Linked DNA regions of Macaca mulatta. The protein of the gene in region 1 purifies or fractionates together with the protein of each later gene. This does not show direct contact. Links are inferred from orthologs where the notes say so. Each region holds a gene or a part of one and is shown on either strand. Other genes may lie near its edges.

Region 1 (6,434 bases):
CCAAAAAAAGAAACGAATGTAATCACTTACCAAAAGGTGGGAGATCCTTTACGGGCACTTTCTTCCGTGAAGGATAAAGGGACACGGCGGGAACCTGCAGTCCCTGGTTGATTTTATGTGCTGGTGGTGGCTGCTGCTGGGGCTGTGGCAGGGACTGAGCTTTCTGCTGTGACCCTGCCCTTGGAGCTACCGGAGAGGTCTCGGATTTGACAGGCTTTTTGTCACCAGGATTCTTAGGCACTGGTAATTGTTTGGGTTTGAAAATAGAACAAAGAATTTTAGATGCTAGTAGCTATGTAGAAGATAATTTTAGAACTGTGTGAGCATTTTCTGCAGTTAGAATACTAAAAGGCACACCTTTCGTCCTGCTGCCTTTATGAAGCACAGAAATGGATATGGGGGACCCTAGTTACAGAAAATATTAGGTATGTGGCAGGACAAAGGTATCTACTTTATGAAGTCAGCAATCTCAAAAGATGATTATACTATTAAACACCCCATTACAAATATAGAAAAATGTGGGTAGTTCAATATGTTATATCCATGTATATGAAAGACACAAATACATGATAAAAACTACAACAGACAAGTCATCAGACACTATTTTTCTAAAATGGTGTTCCAAATTGGTTGACAAGTATATGCACTAAGTTTTTATTTAATAAATGCTGCCAACTGCAATCTATTTACTACCACATTCCTAGGAGGTAGAATTATCTATGCAAGCAAACAGTAGCCAAAAATGCTTGAGTATTATACTGAGTATATATTTTGTGGTAGATAAATGGCAAAGCAATTTAGGACAATTAAATATTGTGCATGTAGTATCTTAATATGCAAAACTCAATGACATATGTATGCTTCCTCCCTTATACACACCTGGAAGCTAAGGATTAGGGAGGTCAAGTAACTTGCCTAAGGCTGCATTGCTAGTAAGAGGAGGCAAACAGGATTTGAACTCAGACCACTCTGACTCCAGAGGACAAGCTCTTCACCATGACACAGTGCTTCTACAGTGTCCTGGGTAAATCTAATAATCCAAATCTTCTCAAATCACCTATCTAAACTAAATCCTATAGCAGACATCTTCAAATCTGCACATAAAAGACACAGGAGTGTATTGAATGGAAAATGCCTTTGTCAAGATGCAGATTTAGCAAAAAAAAACTGCCCCATTTATAGACTAACCCGATTTTTAATGGCTATTGTAGTTCATTGTGGAGCAGAATTATTGCTCTAACTGGTAGGTGAATTTCTTGTTGGGTGTTGTCTGGGCTAGTGGTTAAAAGGCAGCCAGCACACTCAACTTTATGCCCCGACTCCCCTCAGGGTGCCCATAATTTGGGGGCACCTTTCTGAGAACACAAGACACATAATTGGGAGCCATATCTACATATGCGCCCCTTGCATGTGTACTGGCTGTGTCCAGGTGAAACTAAAGCAACGGGTTGCCCTAGATGTGGACAGTGTCATCCTCCACACACTAACCCAGCTGACCTGAGGGCCTGGCCGCGCACAGTGCTATCCAGTATTCAATATTAGCATTCAAGGGAAGGACTAGTATATCTCATGATTGCCAGCTCCCCCTCTGCACTAAGCCTTATTTTGTCACTGCCCATATCACTGTACAGGAAACAAATCTGCATTCTAGCCAAAGTCGGCAGCCACTTTAAGGAAAAACTCACATGTGTTGGTTGCTGGCTCACACTGCAGAGATAATGTCTGAAGACTCTCCTCGTCCATTTCTAGCTCCAAATTGGAAAGGTACTGCTTCACTTTTCGAGCCATTTGGGCATCTTCATAAAGCTTTTTGGCATTGAGAAAGGAACTACGACGTACCCGCTTTTTATGACCACCTGTCTGAGCAACATCTAGCACTGTTGCGTTTGTACTACCCTGGCTGAGAGACCTGGAAGATGAAAAGGTAGATATGCAGCTCACTCTAGCATGGGAGTACTTTATCTATTTAAAACGTGCCAAGACTGATATTAATATTCTATGTTCAAAAGGTCACATGCTTCATTCCAGTGAGTAAACTGTTACACAGGAATATAGAATAATATAGATTAAAAAAATTTAGTTAAAAGAAAATTATACATAATATACATATAAAAATATATGTTTGGCACCTGTTCAGTTCGAACTAGGAAATTCTACTTTTCACCTCTATAGAGCATTTAAGGCAGTTCTCTCACAGATGCCAGAAAATAATAATTACATATAAAAGCTCATGCAAGAATACACAGCTATAATCATTAAGATTTGCAACATTAAGATTACTTCCCCTAAAGAGGATATTATATATATATTTAAATAAAATTAACTACAATGTTCACAATTGTCTTCTTATTCCTTGAGTTGAATGTAGTGAGTTTTTAAAGTAATACGGTCAATCTGTTAATAAAACAATCATGCAAATGTAAACATGTATGTATGGAAACTATTGAGCACATGAATTGTTAAGAATTATTTTTAAAAAGGATTGGTTTATACAGAATGAAAATAGTAGTTAGTTGAGCTGTAAAAAATTTGGGTTTAACACCTGGGGGCACCTATTTTATATTAAAAATATTTATTTCTCACATATCTGTGAAATATTTTAATTGTACAATTTTTCCTTCTAATATCCTTCCTCCCCTCCCCCTACTTTGAGCTTTCCGCATTTCAAGACACACCAATTATATTAAAATAAAATCTTTCTAAGAGTTCAGAAAAACTGGCCTATAGTTCCCCAGAACAGTCATCAATCATTTCACAGCTCTCATGGATCATGACTTCAAAAGCAAAAGCCCCAACAGATTAAACTTGAAGTCAGTTTGCCGTCTGAAATTCTGCTACAGCAAGAGGGTTAAGGAAAAAAATGCAAAAATGCAAAGCATCAGAAAATACAGCAGGTAAGAAAACAATACAATGAGCAGAATAAGGACTGTGTGTGGGTATGCAAGGTCTCCACCACTTACCCCAAACTCCGCCATTTCTTCTTCCTGTAAGTGAGAGCCATGGAGATTGAAGCATGGGTGTAGAAAGAGAGACAGAAAGATCACAAGCTCAGAAAGAAAGGACTAGACTTCTGGATAAGCAGTTCTAGAAGCCCACAAACATTAAACTGCATAATCACCTCACACACGCAACTTTACTAGAAATATTTTTCTAGCTTAAAAGACAAATATATTTAAATTTTTTGTTCTAGAATTAAGACCGACTTTTCTCTCTTTCACTGAATTAATCACTTTTTACTACACTGCTAGCTAAATCTGTTGTGTGGATATTAAGACAAGACTATTTCGGATATTTACATATTTTAGTTCATACTACTAGTTATGAGTTTTAGCTCTACAAGTCAGTGTTCTGAGAAATAAGAAATACATAATTGTGACTATTACACTGAAAATATCTGAAGGACAAACTGTTTTTACTGACAGCCAAAAGAACACTTTATAAGGAATAAGACATTTATTCCAAATTAGAGCTCACAGGTGATTCTCAGCACATCCTACTATAATTTCTGCCGTAGGACAAATGTAAATACTCAAACTTTTAAAAAATCATTTATTGGGAAGCTCTAAATTTAACCTTCTCTACTCTCACACGTGGCACTGAAGATGACATACTCACCGAGTCCTGAACATGAGGGCTGGGTCCATGTTCACTGAAGCCATTCGGCCAACGTGACGAATTTCTTTTGCGATCATCCTTAACTTCTCAAAATTGACCAGCCCGTCTACTTTTGAGTCATTTCCTGAAATTGACAGAGAAGAAAAAGGAAATCACATGGCATTTATTCTGTGCTTCTCCAAGCAAAGATGGAAACCCTCTGCCTTATGTTTACCTTCGTGAAGGAAGGTGAGATCCTTCTTGATAACTGGAAACAGAGGGATTATGGGTGGTTGTAGGTTTTGACTATTGAGAACATTGCGATATTTCGCCATGTTTCTGGAAGGATCAAACAGGTCTTGGAGATCTTGAAATAGTTTTTCGTATTTATTGGGAAGTTTCTCCCAGGTTGTTCGCAGTCTTGCCACTGGTGCCAGGTTTAGGCCACTGAGAGGAGAAAAAGAAATGTGATATAACAACTAAAGTAAAATAGTGTACAGATTATTTATTGACACATAACACCTCCTTGTTTATGCTTTATATGCAAAACAATTTACAGAAGGCTGCATAAGAAACTGTTGATGATAATTCTGGGGAATGAGATGGCACAGGGAAGTAGGGTCAGGGTCAAGCCAAGGCGTTTTACTCTCCTCTTCCCTATAGACCCTCCTCATCTGTTTACTATCAGCAAAACCACCTGAATATAAGTATTGATGCTTTGTATCCATACATAGCAGTATGTATACATACCAGTGCTTAGCCCATAGCGGCCTTTTGATAAAACCGACTGAGCAAATATCCTCTAGTAATAAAATAAGCTATGATAGTAATGAGAGTATGACTAAACTCCCAGACAGAGAAAATGACTCATTTAATAATCACCCTCAATAGCAACATAACTAATTGTTGCCATTTTTTTTTTCTTCTAACCTCAATCTAAGCTCTTAAAAAAAGGGAAGAAAATTAACATTTCCTGGCCAACTGCTTTGTGCTATTTGATGGAACTCCGCATACATGATATCATTAATCTTGTTGATAACTCTTTGGGGTATTGTTATTTCCACAGAAAAGTAAACTGATATTGAGAAAAGTTGAAACAAACTTAAAAAAAAAAAAAGTGGGGGATATAGATTTTCGGAGCTCCAAATCAGAACTTCAGATGCTACCAAAATGTTTCCTGCCTAATGGCTTCTTCGAATCTCTTCAGGTTGGCACAGCTGGTTTTGTTGGTACGAGAGATTTTCAATTAAGGTTAGGATTCAGAGAAAAAGAATTGTCCCTTATGAGTCAATTAAAATCTACTGCATTTATACTAATTATACGATGTTCCTGGACTGATACATATTTTAAATCTGTGAACTGAACTGAATCTTAAGAAAAATGTGTTCTCTTACCTAATGATTGCAAACATTGAGTTAAAATTCTTGCATTCCCTACAGTGCAGTGCTATCTTGATGAAATGCTTAATGATCTTCATCCTCTTCAGCTGGTTTGTTTCTCTGAGAATTTCAGACGCTACCCAAAATGTTTCCTGGTTAATGACTTCTTCAAATCTCTTCAGGTTGGCACAGCTGGTTTTTGATCTGAGTTTAAATAAATCATCTATATATTCAGTAGGTTCAATGTTGCGAAAGAGTTCAAAATTTCGCATGGAGAGCTGTGTGGCAACTTCCACAGTGCTGAGCTGAAGGAGGGAAATTTGACTCTCTCTCAACAACTCCTGAGCATCTTCATCAGAACAAAGAGTTTCTGTTTCCATGTTGTTTTTCAGATAATACCTGTGAAAAACAGAAACATACCAGAGTCAAAGCCTATGCAGCAATCTCACGATATTCCTTGAAAGAATGCTACTTTTTACGGAAAGTTTGAGAGAACACCGATTTGAATGATGGAAGATTTCTTTTCAACCAAGACAGAGCGCAGCTGCTGTCTCAGGTACCAGGTCACAGAACTGCCTATCCAGAAGTAGGTGGTAGAAACAAACAAATCACATGGAATTTCACTTTTACTAGCTGGACTTTCTTTCTCTCCTTTCTTTTCCTGCTTTTGGAAGTATTTTACCCTTTTTGCTAAAAATAACAGAAAATAGCCACATTTTTAGTTTAAAAAGGAACTAGATCCTAAGGCAGGAAGCAGGAAAGATCAGACACAAGTAGATCATCATTATTATTTTCCCAATAATCTGTGATTATTGATGGGCCCAAATTGTAACAATCCAGGTTTACTTATTGATTCAAATACCTAAGAAACCCTAAGCTACTTGCCTCTATTTGATCCTATGAACAGAACAATCCTACAATAGGTTAACTTTAAAAAATCTGGATTTTCATAAAAACTCTGCAGGTAAGTGGATGGCAGGTATTATACTTATTTGTCAGAATAGGAAACAGGCTCCTAAAGTTTGACTAGTTAATGTCAGTGCAAAAATGAGAACACAGGGCTGGAGCTCCTTCTCCTTTTAGGTAATTTGTTGAAAATAGCATTAAGATGTTTGTTGTGTGTGTGTGTGTGTGTGTGTGTGTGTCTGTGGTATGGTGGTGGTGGTATTTTTTTGTTTTGTTTTTCTTTTTTAGACATATGCTTTCTCTGTGAAATTCCGTAAACGAAAAAACAGAATGAGCACAGTAGGGGCCCCGCTAAAATGTTTTTTTGTATATTTCACCAAGACAAACACATATGACAAAAAATATATACTTTGCACCCTTGATTTTCACAGATTTAACATTCTCCATTTTGATTACTCATGAAGCCCATGACATACCCATCTATAATTTTCTTCAATAATGAATGTGAATCATGAATTTATAGCTCAGTGGAGCTCTGTAAAACTCTATCGTGGT
Region 2 (6,434 bases), on another chromosome or scaffold:
AGATTCACGAAAACATGAGAATCGGGCTGCTGTGACACAAATGAACTCCTCAGTTGCAACAAACCAAAAGGAAATAAAAGTATGGTTCTTGATTTCTTTTCAAAAGGCCTGAATATGCTGTTCATGAAACATATCATGGTGACAAGGATCAGGGAAACAGCTATTCTCAGGCCCACTGTGTGAAACTATCAGTCACGACTAATCACATATATATACGTATTCCAAGAGCAAGGCATTTCAATATGGTGGAAAATATTGCTCAGTGTGAGGTCCTGTGTTTTCTGGTGAAGCAGAGGGTGGGATGTGGACTCAAGGAGAAAGGAGGAAGTTTAATGCCTCAAGATTTAGAATAACCCAGATCTCTGAGATCCTCAACTACTTCATTAAAATGTGAGCATGTTGAGGGAAGTGTTTAATATGATTAGCAGACCTCTTGCTTCTGCCAAATAGAAATAATCACACACCTATTCACTTAATACCTATTCATTCATAAATACCTAAAAGGAGTCAGGTGTTGTGTTAAATGCTGGGGACAACAGCTGTCCACATGCATACACGGGCCCTAGCTTTATGGAAATTTATATTCTCATGAAAGACAAACACTAAAAAATAAATAAAAGCATGAAATAATGCCTTGTGCTAAAAAGGTGATGATGATCAAGGTTACGAAGAAATGTGATCAAGATTATATGGAAGTGTTGGGAGCTACTTTAGAAAAAGTGATGGGAGAAGCCCTCTCTCAGAAGGAGACCTAAATGAGACTGAGCCAGCTGGGAAGAGCTGGGAAAGGACCATTCCAGGTAGAGGGGACAGTAAGTACAAAGGGCCTGAGGCAAGAAAAGGCTTGAAGCATTAAAGGAGTTCCATATAAGCAGCCAGTGTGGATAAAGCACCATCAGATGGAGGAGAGGAACATGAGACAAGTTTCGAGGAGTGATCACAGCCACATTTTGCAGGCTATGCAGGCCTAGTTCAGGAGGCTTAAAGGATACAGGCTATTATTACTATTTTTTATTTAAAAAGCACTTTTTAGAGAATGGGGTCTTACTATGTTGCCCAGTGTGGACTCACATGCCTGGGCTCAAGTGATCTTCCCATCTCAGCCTCTCAAGCAGCCAGGACTACAGGTAGGTACCACCACACCCAAGTTAGGTTTTTTAAATCTTAACGTTTTAAAAAGGCATAATCTGATTTCTGTTTTAAAGTACCACTCTAACTGCATATGTCTGCCATAATGTATAAACCATAATTTTTATGCGAAAGAGGTTAGTATTTGGAGAAATCAGTAGGCATTTTGAAGCATTTAAATAAAAACGAACTTAAAGGAATACACATTTAAAAAGCCCCCAGTGGTCATCTGAAGATGAGTAAGTTAAGCAATGAATTTGGGACTAAAAAAAAAATTCAAAGAACAAAACAAACCTACTTACCTCCTCGTTGCACCAACAATGTGACCTCACTTCCCTTAGGACACTCAACCAGCATATCCACCACTTGGTTGTGAGTTAGGGCCTGCACGTTCTTCTTATTAACTTCCACTATGAGATCCCCTTCTTTCAGGCCTCGGCACCTTGGGCTGTCAACAATCTGTTTCACTCTTTGGCCACCCCCACCAGGACTGTCTGCGATAGTAAAACCAAAGCCCATTGGCCCTTTGACAATATGAACAGTTATGAGTTCTGGCTGAGTGGCTATGGAGGAAGCCAAAGAAACAGTGTCATTAGGATAACCATGCGAACTATTTGAAGTCACGTCCGCTGGGCTGCTTGGCCGGGCATCCTTCATACCATTGACTTTGCCTGTTTTACTACTGTGGCTAGCTGGTGAATCATAGGTCTCTTGCCCATTCACAATAATTGGTTCTTTATCCAAAATAGCTACCGAGGTCACTAAACTTGTATTGGGGTCATCTGGATCAAAAGGCAATGGATAACCTCGGCAGAGTTCAAGGTCCACGCTGGCACCAATGGGGATGGACTGGAAGATCTTCACAACTTGAGCATGTGTGTGTCCCAAAACACAGGTGTCATTCACACTGACAATCACATCCCCTGTAGAAGGCAAGAGTGTGGGGGTTAAGAAAACAGCACCCATAAAATTGCCATCAGTATTATAATATATTCCACTAATATGAAACTGAACTGAAACTGCACATGGGTGTGATACTATAGGGCATGAACTGCTTCTATTACTGATTTTAACAGCTAATAAAGTGTTCTTTCAGCACCTAGTATCTTCCCTGCTAATGAGAATATAATAATCCCTGAAAGAACATTGGAGCTTTCTCCTAAAAAAAAATCTCACTGCAGAAATCCAAGTTTAGAATTCATTTATTTAAATGGGGATCTACATTTTTAGTAACTTATTGCTTTACTGTAGTCACACAGTTTCCCAAAGTTAAAATGACTTCACAGGTTTCAATCTGCCCCAAGGGATGAATTTATATAATGTGGAGACCGGGCTCATTCTCAAGGTGTTTAAAGGTATAAACATGTGCAATCATGACGCTGTCTGGTCTTGCTCAAACCAAACAATGTCATGATTGCACATCTTTATGTTCTGGGTTGGAGTCTCACCACACAGAACACACTAAGGCCATGTGGACGCTACCTGTTTCCATCTTGCCGTCCAATGCAGCAGGACCATCTAGGACCAAACTCTTGATCTGCAGAAACTCATCAGGTTCATCCCCTCCAACCACCGTGAAGCCAAAGCCACGACTGCTTTTCCGCAGCTTTGTGTGAATGAACTTGCCTTTCAACTCAGAAGGATTTCGTGTAAAAAAGGGTTTGCCTGGATTAAAATAAGAAAAGCATAAGGAATGTCACCATTGGTGAAAAGGAGAATTTAACAAGATTTGAGACAACATATAGATAATTCTTCAAGCTTATGCCCTAGAGCCTTTGGGCACATAGCATCTTAAGAAAGTCCTCTCTTAATCTGAGGAATAAGGATGTTCCTAGGCCCCAGTGTTGATGGAAGGAGGTAAAGCACAGAGTATGTCAACTCCAGGGTCCAAAAGCAGCTACAAGAGAGGGATGAAACTAGTCCCTGTCAGGTGACATACTTCTTGGTTTCCATTCATGCAGTTTGACAGGAACTGAGCTGCTACAAACCCCTTCACAAATGGAAATGGAACTGGTCTGTTTTATGTCTTTTGTTTTAATTTTATTTTGCTATATGGCTTCTGATGTGCTGCTTTGGGCCTGGCTTCCACTCGAAAAATCAACTGAACAAAAACTTTAGTTTTAATCAAACAGAAAATCCAGGCTGAAAATGCACAGATAATACCAGAAAACATATTAGAGTCACAAATAATAATTTGACAAAAATGTAGAATGACTATTTTCAAAATTAAGGGTCAATTCACTTTGAATTGAACTCCAAATTCAACTATTTTTCCTATTTATTTGCACCTTTTATTAAATTTATGAAATAGCCAACACATGTCTACGGCTAAGATTTACTGTTTAAAACAAGTTTAGGATATTTGTTTAAAAAACACAAACCAAAAAACAAAGAAACCCCACCAAAAAAAAAAAATCCCTAAACTAAGTAGTTACTAACAGTAGCCATACAGCTCCGAATACAGCTGTCTTATTTAAAATAAGTTAGGCTGGGCGTGGTTGCTCATGCCTGTAATCCTAGTACTTTGGGAGGCTGAGTCAGGTGGACCACTGAGGTCAGGAGTTCGAGACCCAGCTGGCCAACATGGTGAAATCCTGTTTCTACTTTAAAAAAAAAGAAAAAGAAAAAGAAAAAATATATATATATTAGCCAGATGAGGTGGCGGATGCCTGTAATGCCAGCTACTTGGGAAGCTGAGGCAGGAGAATCACTTGAACCCAGGAGGTAGAGGTTGCAGTGAGCTGAGATCATGCCATTGCACTCCAGCCTGGGCAACAAGAGTGAAACTCTGTCTCAAAAAAATAATAAAAATAAAAATAAAATAAATGTACAGATAGAGATATAGCTAAATTACTCCCAAACATGCTACCTAAGGTTTTATTACGTTTTCTTGATACATTCACAAATAACATTTTGAACATAAACCAAAACGTTTTCTTTTGGGTTTTACTAGGCACTTCTCTGTAATCGAGAAACTTATTGGAACTTCTCTGATTATCCCAACTAGTAGACCTAATTTCATGAGCAGCTTCTTTCATCTCTTCTAACTGTACTTACTTCTTATACCCTGTTCTTGCCACACATAGCTTCTCCATCTGCCCTGTTTCTTTTCTATTAAAAATGTTATCCAAAACAAAAAGAGAGAGAGAAAGAGGGAGAAATTAGTTCCCTACACCCCTTCACTAGGAGCCTGGCACCTAGGAAAGAAGTTATTTTTGGTTAGTTATATCTAAAAGGGCTTAAAAGGTCTCTGGGCATGCATACAATTTTTAATTGCATATTTTAAAAGTTTCTGGCTCCTGCAAAGAAGGCTCTTTTAAATGGCCGGCAATCGGAGGTCCTTTCGCTAACCTGCTCTCTAGCACAGTCCTAAAGCTTATTGGAAGCCTGACAAACTACAGCCCTGTCACAGTGGCTAAAGAAAGGCAGGACTTAGAAGGATTCGCCAGGCAAAGTCATCCGCTAAGGCATCGGGAGGGTGGTGTCACTTGTACTAAGAGCTTTGGGGAGACAGCCGCCAAGATAATTATCAGATGGAAATCGAGGTGAGGTAAGATAACCCCCAAAGTTTACTTTAGGGGGAGGAGGGTGAGTGGCCTACACTCTTGCAGCAGGTGCTGCTAGGGCATTCCAGGCGCCCTGAAGGGAAACACATTTCAGTTACGCAGAGACATCATCAACAGCCATTACTTTCGCAGCAAGACCTTCCCTAACCACCTTGCTAAAAATTGCAGCACCTCCAACATACATTCCCAATCCCTTTTCCCTGCTTTAGTTTTGTCCTTAGCATTTACCGCCTTCCAACAGAATATACATCTTACTTACAGTTTTGGTTTTCTTACTATCCCCCACTCCCATGCATGAGGGGCATTGATACGCAGGTACATAAAACCACTAGAATGTTAGCTCTATGAGGATTTTTGTATTTATATCCAGTATCTAGAATATTGTCTGGTACATTTTACGTGCTCCAAAAATGTTTGTTGAGTGAGTGAATGAATGAACAAATAAAAGCACATAGAAATGATATTTAACATGTCTTTGAGAAGGCTGAAAAGAGGTGTTTGGGTGTTGGAGCTTTTCACTCTTATTATAGGCTAAGTTAGAAAATGTGAAAATGTGCCTGGCAGTTTATCTAATTAAAAAAAATACATTAACATATTTTGTGCTGAGAATGTTAACTTAATAAAGACAAGAGCAGAGCTTTGAAATTATACAACTGACTTCCTTTTCCAATGTTTAACAAGGGAGGGAAGATCAGAGGGTTTCACATTTATGCACATTTTATTCCTTTTTACATAGGGGTGGATCATTAGTTAATGCAGCTTTTGGAAAGAAATGCTTTTCACCCCACAAGCAGTGGAATTTGGAGCTCTCAGCTGCAGCCCTGTGGTACATGTAATTTTCTAATATCCTAACCTCTGTTTACCAGTCACCAGTGGTAAGGCTTGGTTGTGTCTTACCTAGGGAAAATCACCTGGGTAGCTTTTTAAAATGTACCTATTTTCAGCTCCTTCCTTAGACTCACTGATCAGGATGTTCTGGGTCTTGCCCCGAAACTCTGCACCTGAATGAACCTTAGGTGCATGTTTCCCTGCCAGGCTGAGGGGAGGGGAAAGAAATGTCACTTCTTGACACTACTGTTTAAATACCCTAGACCAGTACTGTCTAATGGCACTTTCTGTGATGATGGAAATGTTCTGTGTCTGCACTGTCCAACATGGCAGCCACTAGTCACATGTAGCCACTGAGCCCTTGAAATATGGCTAGTGAGACTGAAAAACTGATTTTGTTTTATTTTTTAACTGTAATTATTTAAATTTAAATGGCAACATGTAACCAGCGGCTTCCATACTGAACAACATAGATTTAGACTACACAAATGAGGTATCACACAAAAACCAAAACAGCCAAAAACCTTTCAACCAGAAGTTAAACTATTCCTCATGAATAGTGTTCAAATCTGTGCTCTGCTACTTAGTGGCTATATGGCCTTGGGCAAGTTACTAAACCTCTCTGCCAGAGTATCACAGACATAAATGGAGGTAATGATGATACCTATTTCATACGATAGTTGTGAGAAACAACCATGGCAGATAATGTAGGTAAAGTGCCTAGGAAGGTACTTGGCACATAATTAAGAGCTCAATAAATGAGTTATTGTTTTGAATGTGGTGGTGGTAGAGCGAGTGTGGTAGAGGGGTAGCTGCAAAAATCTCTCTCCAAGCATAAGCTTGAAGCTAGAGAGTTTTCATAAGAGCAAATCTCCAAATTATCACTTGCTGGGATTAGAAGTACACCCTTGA

What was found. The genes of interacting proteins can lie anywhere in the genome.
Region 2: the proteins of RAPGEF2 (region 1) and MAGI1 purify together in Homo sapiens (co-immunoprecipitation; 3 studies listed by BioGRID and IntAct, with this or other methods). This does not show direct contact. The link is inferred for Macaca mulatta from reciprocal best matches to the Homo sapiens genes RAPGEF2 and MAGI1.

What each region holds. Positions count from the first base shown.
Region 1 is NC_133410.1:167,885,092-167,891,525, reverse strand, and holds part of RAPGEF2 (rap guanine nucleotide exchange factor 2), read right to left. Parts: intron 5,373-6,434; coding exon 4,989-5,372; intron 4,042-4,988; coding exon 3,830-4,041; intron 3,740-3,829; coding exon 3,616-3,739; intron 2,985-3,615; coding exon 2,961-2,984; intron 1,910-2,960; coding exon 1,686-1,909; intron 241-1,685; coding exon 31-240; intron 1-30. UniProt on the Homo sapiens protein: Functions as a guanine nucleotide exchange factor (GEF), which activates Rap and Ras family of small GTPases by exchanging bound GDP for free GTP in a cAMP-dependent manner.
Region 2 is NC_133407.1:128,980,690-128,987,123, forward strand, and holds part of MAGI1 (membrane-associated guanylate kinase, WW and PDZ domain-containing protein 1), read right to left. Parts: intron 2,794-6,434; coding exon 2,611-2,793; intron 2,052-2,610; coding exon 1,431-2,051; intron 1-1,430. UniProt on the Homo sapiens protein: Plays a role in coupling actin fibers to cell junctions in endothelial cells, via its interaction with AMOTL2 and CDH5. May regulate acid-induced ASIC3 currents by modulating its expression at the cell surface.